Linked DNA regions of Xenopus tropicalis. The protein of the gene in region 2 interacts with the protein of the main gene of each other region in a pairwise test. Links are inferred from orthologs where the notes say so. Each region holds a gene or a part of one and is shown on either strand. Other genes may lie near its edges.

Region 1 (4,224 bases), on a different chromosome or scaffold from region 2:
CGCATGATTCACAAACACATAGACGCGCTAAATATCGCATTAGTCTGTGCGAAAATGAACTCCTACTTGGGGCAGGCGGTAATTATAGAAAAGTACAGTTCATGAGCTTTTGGCAACACAATATGGATCCAGAAGAATAGTCAAAACAGGCAAAGGTCGGTTCAGGCAGCAATACAGGAATAGTCAGGAACAGGCAGGTGTCAGAACACAGCAAAACAGTACAATGAACGCACGCAGGAACTTTCAGGAAGTAGACCTATGAATGAATGCAGGGCAGTAAGCGCTTGAAATATTTGAATTTTGCACCAAAATGATTGCACGCGCGGGGCCGGACGAAAGAAGGCATGCATGCGTGTCAAAAATGAAATGGGCGTGCCTAACATACATTGCCACTTTGCAGATCCATTTGACAAAATTGGAAAACTGGGCAGCAAAATGGAAAATGAGGTTCAGTGTTGAAAAGTGCAAAGGTATGAACTGTGGAAAGCCCTTCCTAGTGATGTTGTGATGGTAATCTGAAGCAATATGAACCCACCCTTCTACCATTGCAATCTGCAGCATATTAACATTGTTTATATGTATACTGCCCCCCCCCCCAAAAAAAAAAAAAGCTCTGGCAACATAGTGCAGTCTACTCCAGAAGCAATGTCTTGTGGTCGACTTTACCAATCCAAGTGTAACCTCCATTGTGGAATGTACAATACACATATCTCAAGAGTTTCAGCAAAAATCTGGACATTTAAGGCCGTGTCCCCAGTAAACTTGTGTTCTTGTGTTATTTTTTGGCGAACTGTACATCACTCTTTGTACACTTTCAGTTGCAATATTACAGCAGTCATTTGTAACAGAGCTTTTTAGATATTTAGAAGAACAGTACCATAGTCAATTACTGCACTTCAAATGTTTTAGTTGTTTGCTGTGTCATTATTTTGAGCTTGTCCAAAGTTTGTAATATAAATACTGGAAAATGGAAATCTATTATCCAGAATGTTACAAAATACAGGAAGACCATCTTCCATAGACTCAATTATAAGCAAATAATTATAATTTCAAGAAATGATTTCATTTTCTTCTCTAATAATAAAACAATACCTTGTATTATTACAAGGTATAATTGTATAATTAATCCTTATTAGAGACAAAAAAACAATCCTATTGGGTTTAAGTAATTAATGTTAATAATTTTTCTGGTAGACCCCTTCTCTGGAAAAACCTCAGTTCCTGAGCATTCTGGAAACATGTCCCATATCTGTATATTTAAAATGTATATATGATATATAGTAGGTTTATCTGTAACTCAACTTTGAGTCATTTTGTTTCTCCTATCAATTTATTTACAGATTCAGCTTGAAGCTTAACACTCAGCCAGAATGAGTAACTACAGTGTGTCTCTGGTTGGCCCAGCTCCCTGGGGTTTCAGGCTGCAAGGAGGCAAAGACTTCAACATGCCTCTAACGATCTCCCGGGTAAGCATTTATCTATGCCAGTTCTTTTTCTGATAGCAGTGTACGTCAGACATTACTTTGCTTTTAAAGACAGAGCCTTGTGCCTGTCTGTTAAATAAGTGTATTAGGTATTAATAGAGTTGCCATTTGACCCCTGCAAATAAGTAGATATATTTTCAAATGTTCTAAATATGTTTATAAATGTAATTGTTATAAATTAAAAAAAAATAATACAGTAGATCATTTAACAATTTATTTTGTGTAAACTACAAAAATCATGGCTGAATTTAGAACTCAGATCATCAAGAAATGAAATGCTTCATGTATGTGCCAAGCATCAATATTTGCTACTATCTCGCGTTTCTGTAGAAAATAGGTAATTTTCATCCTATCTGTCATACTGTGGTTGCAACTCTGCACCTTTGTTCTTTACATAATAATTTACAGTTCTGAGGACAATAGAGAATGCTCTTTATTGATCTGAAAAACAAAGAGGCGCTTACAGCTGCCAAACATTTTTGGAGTCTGCATAATGAATTGGCTTGCACATGTACAGTTTTTCTCTTTTTTTCTATTAGTACGGCCCTGATTTACAAAGTGTATATTTAAATTACTTTGTTTGATCAAAGGTAGTTTTAGTAAAATTTGTTGAAACAGAGTATGCAGTTTTCAGCCAACACCACTGTATGTGGGCCCCTATGATCCATTTATTTTCAAGAAATGTATAATCTGGGCCAATTTTTTGTACACTTCTTGCATGGTTTAATTAGTCACAGATACAGACATCCTACCTCTTGGTATTTATATACATAAAGGAACTATGTTCTTATGGTTGAGTATAAGTGAATTTAGCTGGAGGTCATGCTGAAAATCCTAAATTATTCAAAAATGATCATATCTTTGCTGAAAATTTCACTTTATAGCAGTATGGATTCCTACGTTAATTTTAAAAATACAGCCTGGCATAGTCTTGTCAACAACATTTCCATTATGAGCTGTGTCTGACCTGCTGCCTTAGATTCCCAGCAAAAGAGATAGCAGACAGAACAAAATCTTTGCTCTATCACTGTACTCTCTGTCAATTGCTGTACAAGATACATGGTATCTTCAGTTAAGATGAAGTGCTGCTGTGCTGATGAGAGGAGCAAATGCTGATTATGGGCAATTGCATTGGATTAGATTTGAGCTGTAGGACTTGTTCTGGGCAATAAGATGATATTTGGCAGCCTCGGTTTGTTATACAAAAAATGTAATATGAGTTTTGTTAAGTACCTTTATGAAAATGAATTTATGTAACTTCTTAAAAAAAATGAATGTTGATAGAGTTTATGTCGACATTTTGTGTGTCACTCAACTTGTGTTGTTATATAGTTATGCAACTCATGCCCTAAAAATTGCAGGAAAAAAGTGCTAAAGATGTAGTGTAGCTATGGTTACTGTTAACTTGTATAGCCACTATTCCAGTTTTATTATCAGTGAGTAAAAATTCCTAGTTGAATGGCATTGTATTGTTAGCATTTACTTTGAAAGAGGCTTTACTGGAACTTTCGGCTTCTGTATAATTTTTCTGTATTATGCTGCCTTTGAGTATTTTCCTTTCTCTGACTGCTATACTATACATTATTATATATTCTGTAGTTTCCTCTGTTAAAAACATCAGTTCACCCATAAAAAAAAATCCTTGCATTAGGATGAATACAGGTAGCCATTTGATAGAGTAAGATTACTAGATTAAATAGACTGGAAATGTAATTCTCTATGATAAAAAATTAAATCAAAAAGCAATACCATTCCAGTGGAAGTCAGTAGCTCCCCTCTTTAGGTTTTTGGAAGAAGTTAGTGAACAATTCCCTCCCTAAGCAAGTTGTATACTTGACACATGCAGCGATTTGGGGATCCTACCATCAACCCTCTGGGCCATTAAGGCTGTTACCACCTAGTTAAGTTTCTAACTGATTGGGCTCACCTTCTCCATTACTTTTATTTTCTGTTTCTCTACTGTTTTAGTACTATATTTCCTCATCTGGTAACTGCTGCTTGCCCCTTTTAGATTTCCAGTGGCACACTGGATAGCATATTTCATTATTTTCAGGATGGATCCTGAGGCTTAATGGGTTAACAGGCTGTATAATAATGCATCTGAGAAATGTTTTCTTATTCGTGTAGTCTCATAGGCTTGTTTAGTTTGTCATAATCTGGCTCCCATGAGGGCTAAGGGCTGGATTTTTCATGTGCAGACACAGTGGGTGTAGGAAGGAGAGGAAATCAGTGGGAACCTGCACAGTAACAGGAAGGATGATAAACTAAAGCTGGTTCAGAATAGAAACCAGTGGCAGAAGGCACAAAAAAATGTAACCTTTGTAATAATTAGTCTGAAAAGCTATGAACTGTATTTCATCCTTTAACAGTCTCATGACTTTGAGGGTTTGATGTTTGGATCGACTGAATAGTATTTATTAATAACTATGGACTTGGGGGCAATAGTAGAAGATAAAAACAGACCTGCAAGTGACGTGAAAGCTGATCTTTTAATGTCATCTATACTCTCTAGTCACCAGATTAAATCATCTAAATTATCTAAATGATACAATAACAGGATTCAAAAAGGAAACCTCTCCAAGCCAGAATAAATCGTATTAGATTTGTTTTGGCTGCTTTAAACATTCAAAGGGCTTGCTGCTATGGCATGTTAAATTATAGCTTTAATAATTCACATTAGACCACACTGTAGACATTTTTTTTATGTAGTTAAATGCAAAGCCTGTTTTTGTTAAATTAC
Region 2 (3,652 bases):
TGTATCAGAACTAGAGATGGGGGGTTCTGGCTTCTTGCCCTTCCCAGGAGAGATTCCATTCACAGCCCTGGGGGGCACAGACACGGATCCCCTGGCACTGGCTTGGCGCTGCCCTTTTGCAGATGAGGGGGGTTTGTGTTGGGCAGGGGGGGGGGGCTGATCACTGCAGGAGGTGGTGCCAGAGGAGTCATTGCTGGGGGTGTGTCTCTGTGTATTTATAGTTTGTTGGGGGCGCTTCCTGCTACGTTTGGCAGGGGGGGTTTCTACTAAAGCTTTCGGTTTTTTCTTTGCTTTTTTCCCTCTGCGCATTTTCTTCTCGCCCTCCAGGAGTTCCTCTGAGCCACTGGTACTTCCCTTGTCTCTGGGCCCAGGCTCGGGGCCCGCTGGGGTTATTGGGGTACAGCTGCGCCTCGCTTTCTTCTCTCGTATCCCAGGCTCGGGGCCCGCTGGGGTTATTGGGGTACAGCTGCGCCTCGCTTTCTTTGCTTTGCGCCCAGAAGCACATTCATCCTCAGATTTCTGCCAGTGTCGTTTCCTCACTTGGTTCTGAGCTCCATCTGTACAGGGTTCTGCCTCCCGGCTCCCATCTGTGTCGGCTCCATCCCACTTTACTCTAACGGGCAGGGGGGGCAAAGAGACAATTAATGTAAAGCACCTTATATGTATACTCAGCCATTCCCCCCCTCCCCCCCCAATGCTGGATATACTCAGCCATTCCCCCCCCCCCAATGCTGGATATACTCAGCCATTCCCCCCCCCCCCAATGATGGATATACTCAGCCATTCCCTCCCAATGATGGATATACTCAGCCATTCCCTCCCAATGATGGATATACTCAGCCATTCCCCCCCCCCCCCCCCAATGATGGATATACTCAGCCATTCCCCCCCCCCCCCCAATGATGGATATACTCAGCCATTCCCCCCCCCCAATGATGGATATACTCAGCCATTCCCCCCCCCCAATGATGGATATACTCAGCCATTCCCCCCCCCAATGATGGATATACTCAGCCATTCCCCCCCCAATGATGGATATACTCAGCCATTCCCCCCCCCCCCCCCCCCAATGATGGATATACTCAGCCATTCCCCCCCCCCCAATGATGGATATACTCAGCCATTCCCCCCCCCCCCAATGATGGATATACTCAGCCATTCCCCCCCCCCCCAATGATGGATATACTCAGCCATTCCCCCCCCCCCCCCCAATGATGGATATACTCAGCCATTTACCCCCCCCCCCCAATGAAGGATATACTCAGCCATTTACCCCCCCCCCCCCAATGATGGATATACTCAGCCATTCCCCCCCCCCCCCCCAATGATGGATATACTCAGCCATTCCCCCCCCCCCCCCCCCCCCAATGATGGATATACTCAGCCATTCCCCCCAATGATGGATATACTCAGCCATTCCCCCCCCAATGATGGATATACTCAGCCATTCCCCTCCCCCCCCAATGATGGATATACTCAGCCATTCCCCTCCCCCCCCCAATGATGGATATACTCAGCCATTCCCCTCCCCCCCCCAATGATGGATATACTCAGCCATTCCCCCCCCCCCCCCCCCAATGATGGATATACTCAGCCATTCCCCCCCCCCCCCCCCCCCCCCAATGATGGATATACTCAGCCATTTACCCCCCCCAATGATGGATATACTCAGCCATTCCCCCCCCCCCCCAATGATGGATATACTCAGCCATTCCCCCCCCCCCCAATGATGGATATACTCAGCCATTCCCCCCCCCCCCCAATGATGGATATACTCAGTCATTCCCCCCCCCCCCCAATGATGGATATACTCAGCCATTCCCCCCCCCCCCCCCCAATGATGGATATACTCAGCCATTCCCCCCCCCCCCAATGATGGATATACTCAGCCATTCCCCCCCCCCCAATGATGGATATACTCAGCCATTTACCCCCCCCCCAATGAAGGATATACTCAGCCATTTACCCCCCCCCCCCCAATGATGGATATACTCAGCCATTCCCCCCCCCCCCCCATTGATGGATATACTCAGCCATTCCCCCCCCCCCCCCCCAATGATGGATATACTCAGCCATTCCCCCCCCCCCCCCAATGATGGATATACTCAGCCATTCCCCCCCCCCCCAATGATGGATATACTCAGCCATTCCCCCCCCCCAATGATGGATATACTCAGCCATTCCCCCCCCCCCCCCAATGATGGATATACTCAGCCATTCCCCCCCCCAATGATGGATATACTCAGCCATTCCCCCCCCCCCCCCCAATGATGGATATACTCAGCCATTCCCCCCCAATGATGGATATACTCAGCCATTCCCCCCCCCCCCCCCCCAATGATGGATATACTCAGCCATTCCCCCCCCCCCAATGATGGATATACTCAGCCATTCCCCCCCCCCCCCAATGATGGATATACTCAGCCATTCCCCCCCCCCCCAATGATGGATATACTCAGCCATTCCCCCCCCCCAATGATGGATATACTCAGCCATTCCCCTCCCCCAATGATGGATATACTCAGCCATTCCCCCCCCCCAATGATGGATATACTCAGCCATTTACCCCCCCCCCCAATGATGGATATACTCAGCCATTCCCCCCCCCCCAATGATGGATATACTCAGCCATTCCCCCCCCAATGATGGATATACTCAGCCATTCCCCCCCCAATGATGGATATACTCAGCCATTCCCCTCCCCCCCCCCAATGATGGATATACTCAGCCATTCCCCCCCCCCCCAATGATGGATATACTCAGCCATTCCCCCCCCCCCCCCAATGATGGATATACTCAGCCATTTACCCCCCCCCCCCAATGATGGATATACTCAGCCATTCCCCCCCCCCCCAATGATGGATATACTCAGCCATTCCCCCCCCCCCCCCCAATGATGGATATACTCAGCCATTTACCCCCCCCCCCAATGATGGATATACTCAGCCATTCCCCCCCCCCCCAATGATGGATATACTCAGCCATTCCCCCCCAATGATGGATATACTCAGCCATTCCCCCCCAATGATGGATATACTCAGCCATTCCCCCCCCCAATGATGGATATACTCAGCCATTCCCCCCCAATGATGGATATACTCAGCCATTCCCCTCCCCCCCCCAATGATGGATATACTCAGCCATTCCCCCCCCCCAATGATGGATATACTCAGCCATTCCCCCCCAATGATGGATATACTCAGCCATTCCCCCCCCCCCCCCCCAATGATGGATATACTCAGCCATTCCCCCCCCCCCCCCCAATGATGGATATACTCAGCCATTCCCCCCCAATGATGGATATACTCAGCCATTCCCCCCCAATGATGGATATACTCAGCCATTCCCCCCCCAATGATGGATATACTCAGCCATTCCCCTCCCCCCCCCCAATGATGGATATACTCAGCCATTCCCCCCCCCCCCCCCCCCAATGATGGATATACTCAGCCATTCCCCCCCCCAATGATGGAAATACTCAGCCATTCCCCTCCCCCCCCCAATGATGGATATACTCAGCCATTCCCCTCCCCCCCCCAATGATGGATATACTCAGCCATTCCCCTCCCCCCCCCAATGATGGGATATACTCAGCCATTCCCCCCCCCCCCCCCCCCCCAATGATGGATATACTCAGCCATTTACCCCCCCC

Evidence for each region.
Region 1: the proteins of coil (region 2) and pdlim5 interact in binary tests that used the Homo sapiens proteins (3 or more experiments, as listed by UniProt). The two-hybrid records come from large-scale screens. The link is inferred for Xenopus tropicalis from reciprocal best matches to the Homo sapiens genes COIL and PDLIM5.

What each region holds. Positions count from the first base shown.
Region 1 is NC_030677.2:76,504,642-76,508,865, reverse strand, and holds the start of pdlim5 (PDZ and LIM domain protein 5), read left to right. Parts: upstream 1-1,347; 5' UTR 1,348-1,370; coding exon 1,371-1,466; intron 1,467-4,224. UniProt on the Homo sapiens protein: May play an important role in the heart development by scaffolding PKC to the Z-disk region. May play a role in the regulation of cardiomyocyte expansion. Isoforms lacking the LIM domains may negatively modulate the scaffolding activity of isoform 1.
Region 2 is NC_030686.2:52,249,643-52,253,294, reverse strand, and holds part of coil (coilin), read right to left. Parts: intron 614-3,652; coding exon 1-613. UniProt on the Homo sapiens protein: Component of nuclear coiled bodies, also known as Cajal bodies or CBs, which are involved in the modification and assembly of nucleoplasmic snRNPs.